Lepisosteus oculatus: one gene and its partner. The protein of the gene in region 1 purifies or fractionates together with the protein of each later gene. This does not show direct contact. Links are inferred from orthologs where the notes say so. Each region holds a gene or a part of one and is shown on either strand. Other genes may lie near its edges.

The links. The genes of interacting proteins can lie anywhere in the genome.
Region 2: the proteins of ddx21 (region 1) and rsl1d1 purify together in Homo sapiens (affinity purification with mass spectrometry; 3 studies listed by BioGRID and IntAct, with this or other methods). This does not show direct contact. The link is inferred for Lepisosteus oculatus from reciprocal best matches to the Homo sapiens genes DDX21 and RSL1D1.

The regions. Positions count from the first base shown.
Region 1 is NC_090699.1:30,703,167-30,711,056, reverse strand, and holds the start of ddx21 (nucleolar RNA helicase 2), read right to left. Parts: upstream 3,051-7,890; 5' UTR 2,972-3,050; coding exon 2,888-2,971; intron 2,421-2,887; coding exon 2,133-2,420; intron 1,128-2,132; coding exon 978-1,127; intron 1-977. Other genes in the region: hypermethylated in cancer 2 protein-like, read left to right, coding at 6,379-6,799, 7,650-7,890.
Region 2 is NC_090714.1:15,563,137-15,571,168, forward strand, and holds the start of rsl1d1 (ribosomal L1 domain-containing protein 1), read right to left. Parts: upstream 3,040-8,032; 5' UTR 2,978-3,039; coding exon 2,933-2,977; intron 1,984-2,932; coding exon 1,844-1,983; exon of another isoform or gene 1,611-1,843; intron 1,037-1,610; coding exon 898-1,036; intron 758-897; coding exon 609-757; intron 1-608. Other genes in the region: gspt1 (eukaryotic peptide chain release factor GTP-binding subunit ERF3A), read right to left, coding at 4,459-4,511, 4,949-5,117, 5,594-5,683, 6,227-6,400, 6,728-6,808. UniProt on the Homo sapiens protein: Regulates cellular senescence through inhibition of PTEN translation. Acts as a pro-apoptotic regulator in response to DNA damage.

The DNA of each region.
Region 1 (7,890 bases):
CTTCCTTTATATGACCCGTTCAGAAAACACCACCAGTTTTTTTCCTCTGGAGTGATTTCAACAGAAACATTTACCACCAGGAGTATTTAAACACTGACAAGAGGCAAAGTATCAAGTGCCTGTGAATGCTGTGATCTGAAGTCTGAGTAACCAAGGAAAAAGGCTTTTTTAGAATTAATAATGCACAGTCTTAGGACGCAGTCTTAGCAGAATTTCTGCAGGGTGTTTGAAATTTCAAATAGAAATATTAACAGTGAAAGTAGTGGTAATGTACTACACTTTAAGTTATAAGCACTTTCAAAGAAATAAAAAACGGCACAATTGTGTAGAAACTAGTAAACAGAAAATAAATGCACAGCCAACTGAATTAATAAAACCAAGAGTATACCCAAATTACATATTAAAGCAACTGTGGAAAATAGGTCTTTAAGCAAGTTTTAAAAAACATGTCAACAGAACTCAGCAGAGTAAGAAGGCCTAAATCAATATGTCCTACATTAAGAGATGGAGTTAACACATGCAATAAGCCTTAAAATAATCAGGTGCTAAGCCGTTCTGTGCTTTATACGCGAGCAGGACATCGGTGTCCACTCTAAATTTCCAATTATTTTTTATAATTATATAGTTAACGAGCTTTTACGAAGTCCTAGAAGAACTCTTGTAGTCTACATTGACGACTGCAGGGGACAAAAAAAGTCTTCATGAAGGAAATGCCCACTTAATTTAAAACATCTTCACTTCCTTTCTTTTTAGTAAAGCTCCACCAAGCCCGATTTTATTTCACTTTTCAACTGAACACCAAATAGACTAGCACACGTAACAAACAGAGTCACATGAAGGGCGGACGTCAGATAATTAGGATCTCTTTAAAAGAATGTTCCATTAAAACACACACACGCAGGTCTTTCAAGTAAAACCGAGGAGCAGGCTTTGAGCATGCCGGTTTAGAAACGCGAAGGACCAGCCGGATTTCATACCTCCGCTTCCTTCTCGCTGTCGATGCTGGAGTCCTCGCTGGAATGAGACGGGGTGAGCACCGAGGCTCCCTGCTCCGGGGAGCTGCTGGCTTGCCGTTTCAACTTCTTTGTCGAGACGCCATTGACGACTGCCTTCCCCGTCTTCTTCGGCTGATGGGGAAGCGAAAAACACCACAACGTTCTTTAGGGCAGCTGATGCTGTTGGAACTGATGGCACCACAGGATGGGGCGGGGGGCAAAAGTGTGTTTTTCTTGGGATAATTACATCTCGTGCTGCTCTGAGATCAACACTATTTTTAGTGGTACTGCAGGTATAGAGGTCAAATGCTGGGCTATGACTGTGATTTAAGAAGCGTGTAGGGAACATTAAACATTTAATGCCAGCAGCCATACCACCCTGCTACCCACACCTGGCAGCCCACTGAAGCTCAGCAGGTGTGAGCCTGGTCAGTACCTGGATGGAGACCTCCTGGGAAAAACTAAGGTTGCTGCTGGAAGAGGTGTTAGTGGGGCCAGCAGGGGGCACTCACCCTGCTGTCCATGTGGGTCCTAATGCCCCAGTGTAGTGATGGGGACACTATACTCTGTAAAAAGGCTCCGTCCTTCGGATGAGACGTAAAACCGAGGTCCTGACTCCCTGTGGTCATTAAAAATCCCAGGGCGTTTCTTGAAAAGAGTAGGGGTGTACCCCTGGTGTCCTGGCCAAATTTCCCATGGCTCTTACCAATCACGGCCTCCTAATAATACCAATCTATGAACTGGCTTCATCACTGTTCTCCTCCCCACTAAATAGCTAATGTGTGGTGAGTGTTCTGGTGCACTATGGCTGCCGTCACATCATCCAGGTGGGGCTGCACATTGGTGGTGGTGGAGGGGAGTCCCTATTACCTGTAAAGCACTTTGAGTGGAGTGTCCAGATAAGCGCTGTATATGTGTAAGCAATTATTAATAACCTGTGAATGCCAATTTTTTCCTTCCTTCTAAACATAAACACTTAAGTAGCCCAATGGCACTGCACTCCACCGGGTATAAAGATATCCTAGAGACTGAACTAACTCCAGATGTAATCAAAAGAGCTACCTTCTCTAACGGCATTAATACAACACGTGTAAATGGATAGCTTTAAAACCTGACCAGCAGATTCACAAGCGTTACCTTAGGCTCTGTTTCATGGCCAGAATCACTGCCGGATTCTTCACTGGAATGAGGCAAATCTTTCATTAATGGTGTTCCATTGACGGATTTGGACTTGTGTTTCTTTGCTGAGCTGCCCCTGACGGCGTCTCCGTTACTTGTCGTTTCAGAGGCTGGTGGCTCTTCGACAGAAGCCCGCTTTTTCTTCTTGGGAGGAGGTGTGTCAGTCTCATCGGGCTGCCCTTCCACTGTTCCCTTTTTTTTCTTGGGTTTCTTTTCATCCTTAGATTTCTTTCCCTTCTTTTGTTTCTGCCGAGCAACAACAAAAACATACTTCGTCCAATGTGTTTACAAGCAATCCAAGTATATACCCAACATGTGGTACCTAAAACGCCTGGCACTTGACAGCGTGAACCATGAAGATGTTTTGTGGATAAAACCCACAGCTCACTGCCTTTACATAAGCATGGCCGTTTTAAGTATTTGAACGTCACACTTTTATCATGTTGTCTGACAAGTGCTACAATAACAAAACTACATTATATAAATATACCAGAATGTAAAGATAAATTAGTAATACGTATTATTGATTACCTTAGTCAAATGCTACTCTGTTGTCCCGTCATAAGAATTAAATCTACTTTCTCAGAAAACGTTTAAATATCTCACACACGTGTACACTCTCAGACACACGTGCTTGGCATCCATGTAACTTCTGACTGGGTACAGTATAAACACGAATGCTATTATAGCTATAAACCATCGCCTTTCCCCACCTTGGATGGCTTATAGTCCTCCATACTGGTGTCAAGATCGTCTTCCATCCCGATGTCTTCACTTTCAACAATCTTTCCCGGCATTTTCACCCGATAAGTTCTCCCAAAGACGGGCTCCTACTGCCGTCTCGGCGACAAAGCTAACAAGGAAAGAACATCCCCCTCCACAGCAACCATATCCGCTATCAGGACTACGGCAAGCTAGAGACGCCAAACAGAGCGCGTCGCTCCATGCGGCTGAGAGACCAGCTGCGTGTACAGAAACAAGGTGTTTATTCACTGGAAGTGGAATAAACGTCAAGACGTGTAGGACTCCGGTAACACCAGACTAAAAACAAACAATGCAAACGTGGTGAAAATAGTTTGTACCTACCTAGATAATTGCACTGTTTCATTTTATTGCTACAACACTTAAACGAGGGTGTTTAAAACTCATTTTTCTTACCTCTTCACCAACCTTGGTTTGCCAGTAACACGTTGTTTGAAGGCTGCTCTGCTCAGTAACTGCATTCTACAGGTGAAACATCAAGGCTCTTCAACACCTGGGATCGAGGAGAGTGTCCCTTTTGTCCCAAAGACCACGTAAACATTACACTAAAAACAAATATTCATCCACAAAAGAACAGTGCGTCGTGGAGAAATGGAACTAGCTGGGAGAAATTGAACTCGCTGAAATAAATGTTTGCGGAGTTATGTTGCATCAATAATTATTGGAAATTAGTTTCAGAATTTGTTTACGTGGACAATTGGGTGTTCTGTATGTAATCTTAACTGAAAATGAGCCTTCAGCGCTAAGCAGTGGAGTGCTGTGAGTTTGGTGCCACTGAGATTGTGCATATTGCATGTAAATAAGCGCGTTTATTTTGTATGACACGGATTTTAAATATACCCACGACTGTTAGTTACCACCTATAATGGTAACCTATAGTTAACATCTATTATGTATTATTTTTGTACATTTTAATTATCATAGTTATTTCAGAAGATAAACATTGAAATGAGTGGCTGGATAAAGCGTAACGAGACGCTTAGTTTTATTTTCATAAATTGATTTTTTGTTTTGTTGCCTGTAAACGGATGTTTCGCAAATATTCCTCGACAAGAAGCTAAGAGATGTTTTACAAAGCTGAGCAATGCTTAATATCAGTATGAGCCATATTGTTTATTTTATTGTCCATATTTATTGCATCCATTAACACAACGCTTTCAGTTGATCTTTAAACATTGTAAGTGATCCTTTGTAATCACTGCGATATTATATTATAAAAAACTTAAAAAGTAAATAATCGCCTTAATACAATATCCCTCCAGCGATGTCAAAACAAAATGTTCATAAACTCGTCCATTTCAATTCATATTTTATTACTATCACCTAAGGGCAATTTGTTTTGCGATTTAAGTTCAATACAACAACACAACCTTAACATTAAAATAAAACATTAACTGAAATTCACTACCACGTCTAAACTGTATATTACAGCCGCGGATCTGTCACTGATTAGAAGGAAAGACCTATCCTGGGACAAGGGGCGTGTTGCAGCGGCACTGGAGAAGCCTGGGAACACACTTTTTAAGGAGCTGAGTGATGTGTGACGTCATGGTGGGGTGCCCCCCCCCCCCTTACAGATGTCTGGTGCTCTGGTGTGACGTCTAGCTTGTCTCTAGCAGCGGCTGATGGTATTTTCCGAATGGAAGCGCACGTAGCTTCTCAGCTGAGTCTTTAAACACACCCGCGGCGTTCTGGATAGCCAGCATGGGCCGTAAGGCTGTGATTGTGTCCGGTGGTCAGACAGCCTCTGCTATATACTGACAAACTATTTCTTCATAGTTTTTTAACTAAACACCACAGGTATGTATTTTATTTTACCAGCTGCTTTAAGAGGATGATTATACATTCAGAATTTCTGAATTACCACTGTTTTGAATTTGTGCAAGGAAAAGAATAGTGAAAGGAAAAGAAGGAACAGATTTCTGAAGTCTTAGTTCATATTGGAATTAAAATGCTTCTATACGACAACGCAAATTAGGTTTAGAAACTAAAAATGATTTATTTTTTAAAATTTGTGTTTAGAAACGTTTTTCTTGTCAGCTCACTTTTACTAATTTAATGGCAGCCATTTGTCATACGTGACATTACAAAATGTGCACAGTAAATGCTGTATATGGTGTGTGTGTGTGGAATATAACTTTCAGTAAAAGAATATCTGCACCGAATATGTAAAGTTGCATGGACGTGAAAATGCATTACGCAGCTCAATTAAGTAAAGTTTATTTCAGATGTTTTTATTTAAAGAAATGCATTCTATTTTGATTGTGAGACAGGAACCACGACTCGGTGAGAAGGGTGTTTTAAGAATCCCGCAATTTAATAAGATGAACATGTTTTTTTAAATCGCAGAATATAGGGAGGGTGTTTACCTTCAAAAATAAATTGGAAACAAATAAAAGCGAAGAGAATATGCGGTATTTGTTTTGTACCTTAATGATTAAAGAGCAGCTTCGTGTCGATAAGCGCACGAACTATTATCTCCGGAAAGCGTCATCTGGCGACAGCCAGGCGTTTTAAATAAACCCGCTGCAGTCGGCTCTAGCCTGTTGGAAGCTCACAAGGTCTTCGGTCCACGTGGATATCATTTACTTTCCATTGCGGTGGACTGCGCGCGAGAGACAGATCTTGTAACGGCACTGGACTCAACCCCCTGAGCAGAGCTGGACCTCAGGCTAGGGGGTCACATGTGCGTGTGTATGCTACTCCTTTTACGGAATAAAAAAAAAACGGAGCGTCATCAGGAGGTGGGTTATCACGCTGGAGCCTCGAGCACAGGCAGTGTCCTGGGGCAGGGCGCTCCAGCGGTGAGTTCAGAGACCTTGACGTCAGGACAGCGGGACTCCACTCCCCTATCTGCAACAGACAGAGTCACGTAGGGCTCGCCGTTGCGAAACCGTGTGATTGTTTTCGAATGAAAGCGCACGTAGCCTCTTGTCCTGGCCTGTCCGCAGGTACCCGGGCGCTCGCAGGAGACTTCAGGGAGAGCAGAGCGGGTGCTTATCCCCCTAATTAACTGTAATTCTCCATAAAGTGTGTATCGTCACCGCAGCAGCTTAATGCCGTCATTTACCACTACTCTTAGTACTTGTAGTGATGCAGGAATGAAAGTGTTCAGACCCAGTACACCATACAGGCTTTGTCTGATGTTGTATCTAATTTCTTGTTAATGCCAACCAATTTATTTCCTACTCCTAACGTTTCTGGTTTACGTAAGTATTGCACAGCAGAATTCTCCAGTGCATAACAGAGACCGAAACCTATTTCTCAACCTGATTCAGAAACAGAATACATTTAAATGGTATGTAGTGGAAACATTTAAAAGGAAAGTCTGGTGCACTCTGTGTATTTGTCCCTTTCTCTCATTCTATGTGAATTACTGTACTGTATGCGGCTCTGAGAAATGAATGGAACACGCAAATCTGTCTTCTCCCTTCTCTAGGTGATGGCCTGTCCTCTCCCAGTCTCTTCCCACGCCCTCACTCTGCTGAGGGAGCTGAACTCTCAGAGGCAGTCAGGCCAGTTCTGTGACTGTGTGATCAGGTTGCAGCTTCACCCTGAAAAACTCTACATAGCCCACAGAAGTGTCCTGGCTGCCTCAAGCCCTCTCCTGGCTTCCCTTCTCCCCAGTCAGGGCTCTCTGCTCGATCTGGGGTGCCCTACTCTTACCCCTGAAGCCATGGGGCTGCTCCTGGAGTTCATCTACACTGGGACGTTGCCACCACTCGACCTGAAGGACTCTGTGCTGTCGGCTGCTGTCTATCTGGAGATGGAGCAGCTCCTGCAGGCTCTCGGCCACAGAGGGGCTGCGCTGTTGGGGTCACCAGGGCGAGGAGAATCAGCCCCAGTGAAGGAGCAAGCATCAGGTTGGGTGCAATACACAGCTCTGTTATCTGAATGCTTGCTTTTGCAATTCTTACATACTGTATGTCTAAAGCTTCTGTCTTAACTATTAATCCCCTTTCTGGAATGTATGTGTGCAATACTGAGCCAATGCCACTTTTGCGACATACTTTGTCTCTCCCATATGCCTTAAAAATAGATGTACACCATTTAACACTTTAATCAGGCTGGAAACAGAACAAAAACTGTAGCACAAATAACTTTAACAGCATCACTTGAAATGCACCATGATTATAATGCACCAGGGGTGGTGTGGTGGGTCTCTGGCTAAGGATCTGGGCCTGTGGCTGGAAGTTTGCCGGTTTGTATCCTGCGGCCAGCAGAGGAATCTTACTCTGTTGGGCCCCTGAGCAAGGCCCTTAACCTCAGCTGCTCCAGGGGCTCCATATAAATGGCTGACCCTGCGCTCTGACCCCAAGCTTCTCTCCCTGTCTGGGTGTCTCATGGAGAGCAAGCTGAGGTACAGTATGTGAAAAGACAAATTCCTAATACTAGAAATTGTATATGGCCAATAAAGAGCTCTTATCTTGACACTTGATTTACATGGCTGAAAGTAACAGGATCTAGTATCAAAATGTTTCGATGTTCACTTTTCTCAAAACACATTGAGAAAAATGAAATGGTTGATGCATGTATTTTTACTTATTAAAATTCACATGTAAGTATACCTTAAGCATAAAAATAGTATGGGCGTTGCAGGTGTTATCTTTTGAGCTCTTCAGAATTTAAAAACTAAAGCAAGCATAACATAGAAAATGCTGTTTTAACAAACCAGAAATAGTATCCTATTTATTGTGTTTATGTATTCCCCAGCAGAGTCTGAAGCACTCAGAACACACCGGAAGAGGCGACTGGCAGAGTACCAGCCAGTGCCAAGAGATCTCCCGTCGCCCCTGCTCAACGGCAAACCCGAACAGACCACACCACTGGTGCCCAGCTGCGAGGTCGTTCCAGTCATTCGGCGTGCAAGCACAAGAGGAAAACCTGAGAAGACATCCTCGTTCCCAGGAACGCAGACTCCCCTCCCGAGCCAGATTCCTGGTTCAGACATGCT
Region 2 (8,032 bases), on another chromosome or scaffold:
CACCCTCACAGACACCTGCACACATGGCGAGACCAGAGCGCCAACACGGGCTGCTGGCAAACCTGCTCCCACTCCTGGATACAGAACTTCCCCACAGAACCATCCCTCTGCTTACAAAGACCTGTGATCTGTGCAATTACAAGCCAGCGAAAACAAAAATAAACTGCTGGTAGGAAAGCCACTGCCTCCCCAGAGGATTATTTCTGAAATAACTCAGGAGATGGTTTTCTAAACTGCCGTGTAACCAGCTGGTGTAGGATACTGCAATCATCCGAAATCAGATTTCAGCTTCACAGCTGGAAAACATCTGGTTTGCTGCCCCCCCCCCCCCCCAGTTCGAGGGCTTCCCCTGGCTAAGGCACTCACTGAGCTCTATGACCCAGGCGGTTCTGGGTTCGAGTCAGGGTCATGACACTATAGCTGCCTGTGACCAGGTGGCGCACAACAGGATCAGGGTGGGCAGGCGTTAGCCGGCCACGTGGCTATGAAACGTAGCCACGAGCCGATACAATGGGGGAAAAAAAGCAACTGGAGATGGGGCTTCAATATAAATAACTGTCAGTCCTAAACGTAAAGCAGAGCAGGTCCCGCAGGCTGGGTGGGCGTACTTCTTGCTCTGGTAGAAGTGCTTTCCGATGTGCGAGGGCAGGAGCCGGCGAACCCTGTCGTCTGCCAGGAAGAGGTCGAAGTTGCCCAGAAGCCTCCGCTTCGCTTCAAAGGACTTGTACTCCTTCTTCAGCACCCGGAAGGGCATCACCTGCCACAGGAGAGGAGGACAACCTGTTATCACCTCACCCCGACGAAGGACGAGGAACTTGGGGGGGGAGGGGGAGTGTTTAAAATTTTTCTGCCAAGCAGTGGGGAACAGTGCCCCCTGGTGGCTAAGCTGGGGAGTACCTGTGTAATTCCTTTGACTCCCTTCTCCGAGAGCAGCCTCTTGTAGAAGCGCTCCGTCTGGTCAGAAGTCATGTTGGGCTCGTCCTTGGTGAAGAGACACACGTCCCCGGATTCCAAGCGCAGGCCATGGGGTAAGGGGCTGGACAGGAAGGCAAGAGTCTCCACTTCAGTGCCACAGAAGACCACTGCAGCGACTTTCAAAGCCTGCTGCAATATTTCATCTATCCATGCATTTTCTAACCCCTTTATGCAATACAGGGAGGCAGGAGAGCCAGTGCCTCTACCTGCAAGCAGCGGGCACCCTGGACAGGATGCCAGTCCATAGTGGACATACAAAAACACAAACACACCCAGGCCAGTTTTTCCAGAAGCCAATTAACCTACTAGTATGTCTCTGGACTGGACTGTGGGGGCAGACCTACAGGAAACTGATGAGGACATACAAACCCCAAGCAGACTGTGCCCCAGGCCCAGAATTGAACACATGATCCCAGCGCTAACCACTGCGCCACTGTGCCACCTTACTGGCGAGTCACCTGGGGAAATACACATCTTCTCACAAACAACAGATCAATTCTTATCCTTGGCTTCTCAACCCATAAGGGCCACAGCTATGCATGATCATGTATACTCTTGGTTTTTCATATATTCTGAAATGAGACAGACAAGCTAAATTGATCGAGATTTCCCTTCTTTTATACCCTCATAACCAGCCTATCAGAAGCCCGTGAACCGGACAGCTTGACTGTCACCGGGCGGAAAGCCAGACTGAGCCAGTGGGACCCAGTGGAGCAGGTTTCACGCTTTCCTTCAAATCGCCACCAGCGCTCGAGATGGGAGGAGGGCCAGGCACGCTCGAAAGCAGACATTCGACTGCTCCACACCGGGGCACATCGAGACGTCAGAGACGCCGCAGCCCGCCAGTAACCCTGCCACGAACACTCACATGCGGATAGTCTGCTCCTTCTTGGGGACCTTCCAGAGAGTGAAGAGCAGGGAGATGTGCTGGTGCTCGTCCAGCAGGACGGAGCCCGAGCTGGGCGTGCTCTTCAGGTAGGCCAGCAGGGCCTGCGCAGCCTTCTTCACCTGCAACGACACGAGACACCGAATCCCTCAGTGCAGGCCAGGAAACCGGCTGCCTAAAACCACAACATCGCTTTCTTCTCAGTTGGGGCGGTTTCATGGTTCTGCATTCATAGCCACAGGAAACCAGAGCCCATTCAGGACACACAAGGCAAGACTATATCCTGCACAGGACCCCAGTCCGCCACAGCCCCACACTCACGCAGGCAGGGGGAATTGAGCCTGGAGAAGTAGTCTGCTAGAAGACACCCGCAGATTTTGAGACAGCACACAGAGCCCACACAAGAGGTGCCCCCGGAGGCAGCAGTGTTACCACCATCTCACTAGGCCATGCCTCCCTGCTATCAACATTCACCCGCACACCCAAAACACTAAACATTTTACGCTACTCTTATGAAAAACAAAATGACTAAGAGACTATGAATCCGATAAACGAATGTATGGCCAGGTTAAACATGTTCCTGACCGATCTAAGTGAATGTCCTACCACTTCAGCAGTACATAAAAAAGCGATCAATTCTATTTAAAATAAGTTATAAGCTTTAGAGGAGCTGCTTATAAACGTGCATGTTCGTATTTCTTTTTGGTAGCTAATTATGAAAACTGCTCGCCAGACTAAGAACTAGTTGCATCACACTCAACTCCTTCATGGGGAGACGGATATTGCGGACTTCTACACTAAATTTAATGATAAATCAGGGAAGACTGGCTTATGCGCCCACCCGAAGATCATACGAAAAACCTACAACACATACGCTGCTATAAGAAATTAAGTTATTCAACTTATTTTAGAGTCGCCGCTTATCCCATTTAGCAGTTACCCTACAGATACGAGTAAAATACCCAAAAAGGTAACGTAAACGAACTGTTTAATTACGAATACTTTTTTATCGCTGGTAGACACATTCAATACAGAACACATCTCTCACGATCTCTGAATCTGCTATATTACCTGCGAGCGATCCAACTCCACACCACCGCTCTGATCGGTCGCCATGCTGCCTCTCCTGACACGTGCGGCCCACAGGACTCGGACATGCGTCAATCAACCACTTCCTGTTTCACTTGAAAGCCCAAACTTTATTTATAAACGCACTATGCTTCCCCAGCCCCCAACCTATTGTGCAGGCATGCGTAGATTGATCCTTATATCCGGTTCGTTCCACGTTGTGCTATTTTTGTGTCGAGGAAGACTGTTACTGCAGCCTTATAAAATTGATGTGATCTTGGATTGATCTTGAAATATTCTGTGGGCGGGGGGAGTTTCTTTATAGCGTCTCCCTTAGAAGTCAACGGCAAAATCCACCATGGACACAATTTTTCGACTGGACAAATAATCATGGTTATTGAAATATTTACAGATCATAAAATTGGAATAAACGTTTTTGGTCTACATTGGGGCGGGGATCATTAATGTCACGTTCCTGCACTAATGCAAGACCTTTATAGATGCACATTTCAGAAAGTTCCCCTGACTAGAACAGTTGTTCACTGCCAACATGTAAACAACAGAATAATACTGGCACAGAGGTATTTTAAAAAATAAAACCGACTTTCTGAAACTCTTAGCTTACATGTACTTTGGAGTGCAAAACTTCACATAAAAAGATGCCACTACTCATCCCCTTAAACACTTCAAAAACACTGACTGCCAATTCTGTATGCAACAATAATTTGAGTCTTTTTTTTAAAGAACACTCAACTTGAACTCCTTACAGCTGTGCTCCAGAGACAAGACAGTGGCCACCAAGGTCTGAAGGGAGATTAGCTCTGCTGTCTGCAGCGGTTTGGGCTGGGGTAGTTACGAACGGGGTTTGCTGCCCTCAGAAAGCTGGGGGATAAAGAGGAAGCCGTCCAGAGCCCGCCAGGTTCCAGTGTGGAGAAGAGTTCAACACACAAAACGAAGCACGCAACAGAAATGTTTTTTTTAAACTTAATATTTTATTGTCACTGTAGTCGCTTTAATAACATGTGATCACGCTCGCACATGCTGTACGAACTCCTTGTGTAGAGAAACCCATCTTGATATAAGCAAAGGGAGACATGTACAACCAGGATATGAACATTATTTTGGTTTCGAAGTGTTGTAAATTTGTGTTTTTTTTTTCCTTTCTAATCCAAGCAGCTCAGTCCACACCTGTTCTGGCAGCTGCTGCCACTTTCTCTGAAGGAAGTCAAAAAAGTTGGAAGAGAAATTCTTATCTTTCTTTTATTAAGTTTCATTCAATGACAATCTTAAAACAGGGAAGGGAGGGGACTAACAAATGGCATAGCTGAGCTCTCAATATGAGAAAGCTGACATATGTGGACTCTTTATTTTTTTAAAAAACTGATTTATCTTTCACTTTCAGAGACGTTTCGTGTTGTGAACTCGTCTGCGGCGGGCAGGAGGGGCAGAGGAGAAGGTGGTGAGAAGCAGGCTGCTGCCGAGTCCACTTCCATCACAGTCAACTACGCCAGGCAACCACAGCGCCCCCTTTAGTCCTTCTCTGGTACCAGCTTCAAAACCTTGCCAATGGCGATGGTCTTGCCTACAAAAAAAAACATAAAAGAGAATTTCTTTCACCGATACAGTCAAATCAGACACCCACCCACTCGATCACGTGGGATTGCAAACAGCTTTAAATCTTTAACTACATACTTTTTAAAACACGCTGCTCTAACATCCTCACACAGACATTACCCTCCCGTGTTCCGACACAATGTACTCCCCTTTAAGTGGGTTTAACCTTCCTAAACCTTCCTTATTCGTGCTGTACAACACCAATCACGTAGCAGAAATACAAATCCAGCCTCATCTGCAGTGGACATGTGTCTGCCGTAATTACGTGTGATGCAGTTCAGCTGCATTGACGCCCTTATTCTCAGTCCTTCAAGACAAGGGTGAGATGGCGTGGAAAGTGAATTCGAGGTCTGTTCTGTAACGGGGCTGTAGCTGTCCCATGCTTTAAGCCACAGTTAACTCCACCTTCATCCCGTAAGGTGAAGCGTCCCATCTGAGGGAAATCTTTGAAGGTCTCAAGGCAGATGGTGCCCGCGGTCCGCAGGCGGGCGATGCACACTTGGTCTTGTTTCACAAAACGAGGTCGCGTCTTGCTTTTCTCGCCAGACTTTTTGTCTACCAGGCAGATTAAGGCCTGCATGAGAAGGAGGAAAATCATTTCAGGTCCATTAACAGCAGTGTGATTTTCTGCAGTCAGCCAATAATGATACAATTAAGTGTGTATTGCTACAAACAAGTCGATCAATGAAAAGAATCTAACTTAAGAGCCTTTTTTTTAACGTCCGTTACAATGTTTGCATACATAACTGGAGGTTAAGGAGGTCTGAAATTACTCCCACCTATTAAGACAGTTTCCCATTAGAAACCAAAATAGCACAGGTTAATATCCATATACACAGTAACTGTAATAAGATCTGAACTCTGTCTAAACATACAAGCATTCCTGGAAGCGCAGCATGTAAAAACACAGGATGCACAGCAGGCCCTGCTGCATGACTGCTTTGAGACTTATGTGACACCACTTCTTTATATCATGTCTTGTCTGACCAGCAATGGCTACTTAAAACACTGTCAGACATTTGGAAGTGGTGTGGAAAATCATGCACTTACTGTAATTTGGACTTCTTCAATGCAGGTGTGGATGTGCAGGACTGCGTTGTAACCAGGGCAGATGATGGATTTGTGTTCGATGATGACAATCTGTGAAGGCGAGACAAGAGCAGAAATAAGACAGAAGTGTGACCAGTTTCTCTTTCTATGAAGAAACACAGCTTTCCTCACTTCGACATCGTGTGAAGCCAGGCTGTCTTGCCTCATCTGATCCGCAGGTATGTGGCCAAAAGTAAAATGAAGTCTTTTTGTAAAACCCTCAGTTGGAGGTCAGGAGGATGCCAAAGGTGTTCAATTGTCTTGGAGCAGAGAGTGCGCACCCATGGATTCTATGGTTATCACTTACTTTTTTACTGGACAGCACCTCCATAATCTCTGGGCAGGTGTTGCCTCTTCTCCTAATGTATGAACGTGAACTCGCCCACTATTCTAGCAATGTGAGGTGGGGTTAACAGCTGACTTTAGGCGTGTGTTGGTGATGGGACAGGGCCTCGCTCTGTATCTGGTGCATGCTCAAAGGCTTTTCTTTGATCCCTCCTCTGAGATCGTCATTCCTGGGGGAGGGGCCGCGGACTGACTTGAAAGACACAAGGGCCTGTGGGGAGTGATGATGGGGCGGGGGCGGACCCTGACCTGAGCGTCGAAAGTGCGCCCGGAGTGGCAGAGGTTCTCGGCGTTACAAAGGATGAAGCCGGGCAGGATCTCCTCCTCCTCGATGCCCTTCAGCCTCAGCTTCAGGTTCTCCCCGGGCCCGGCGAACTCCGTCTCCACATCGTCCGAGAGCAGGCTGAGGACCTCCACGGTGTGCTGGGGACAAACATGCACCTCTTCAGTCAGTCGCCGAGGAGCCTAGCCACATCTCACACGGCTCTAGATCAACAGCATGGTGTTGCACTGTACAGGCCCCACAGCTAGCTCCTGCTGCTTTGTTTGGGCTTATGTGTTATGTGCGAGCAGAAGCCCTCTGCTATAACCATTGCTATCTCTGAACTCGCTTTTAGGAAGACGGGACACAGAAGACTGATGCAGTCTATAAAAAAAACCCATCTGGGCTCTCAGGAAATGCAGCATTTGAAACTGCTGTTCAGACAGAACCCGGGATAGAGGTCAGTGCTGCAATACATGCAAACCCACCTTGTTTGGCATCATCACAAGCTGCTGTGCTTTGCAGATAGACCCAGACTCCAGCTTGCCCAGGATCACAGTGCCCATATCCTGTTAAGGACACTCACAATCAGTGAACTGAACAGCCAACATCATGACATTTACCATGACAAAACCTGAATAATTCACTACCCTGGAAGAACAAACTGCACAGGAACATCCAACATCCTGAAGTCCGCATTATCTGTTAGGGGTGCATGTAAATCTGTAATGCTTAGTTAAGATCTGTAGCTGAAGCAAAATAACGACACTTGAAGCTGTTCACGTATTCAGAGCGTTGTTTTTTACTTTGACAGAAACTGGGATCAGCCTACTCAGTATGCAAACCAATGGCTGTAATAAAATAAAGGGCACAAACCAGTGAAGTTGAGCAGTTAATGTCTCCACTACAAGGTCACTGCAAAGACTTCCACTGTGTTGTAGTAAGAGAAGTCTGTACAGACCACATACGCAAGCATGTATCAGCTATTTACTAGTAATATATGTACTATTTTTGCGTTTCAGATTCAAATGCACTCTGAATACCACTTTTGAAAAATTTCCAATTTACCACAAAATATAAAGAAAAACTCTTGAATTTTAAGTGCTATTCTTTTGGTCAATATTATCAAAGATCTTAAAAGCACCAGGTGAGCCGTGCCGAGTTGCCCTGCAGCAGTTTGTTTTTCTGCCGTGTAAGATACACTAAAAGACAAGAATGAAACATTCCCTGCAGGTGATCACTCCAAAGACTCCCCCCCCCCAACCTAACTCCATGCTCCTGTTTCATACCTCTCTCAGCTCTCGGCTTCCCCTCCTCCGGAGTTAAACCTGCTGACCTCCTTTGTGCTCTTGACAGATTTACTTGCAGCTTTCTGAGCAGTATAACCAGGCTTCAGCTAACCTGACCCTCATCACATTACTTCAAATTAATATAAACTCCAGAGGAAACCCGTTTTCTTTTATATCATATAATTAGAGCTAAAACAACACTTTACATTTTTTAAATAGAATAGGAAACGGGAGGGGAAAAAAAGGCTTTATCCTTCATTCAGTGGAGTCTGTACTTTACCGCTCGTGCCAAAACACACCCACGCGAGAGCAGGCCGTCGCCGATCCCGACTTGCTCAAGGAGCTCTGCGCCGAGGCCGGCGTCGAACACGCAGACGAAAATGAGATCAACCACCGCTGCCCCCTCCATGCACAGAGCTCTCAAAACTACCAGTGCTGACCGCTCAGCAGTGTCCTCATTCCAAAAATAAAATAAAACACCAACAACATTTAAACATGTTGCCA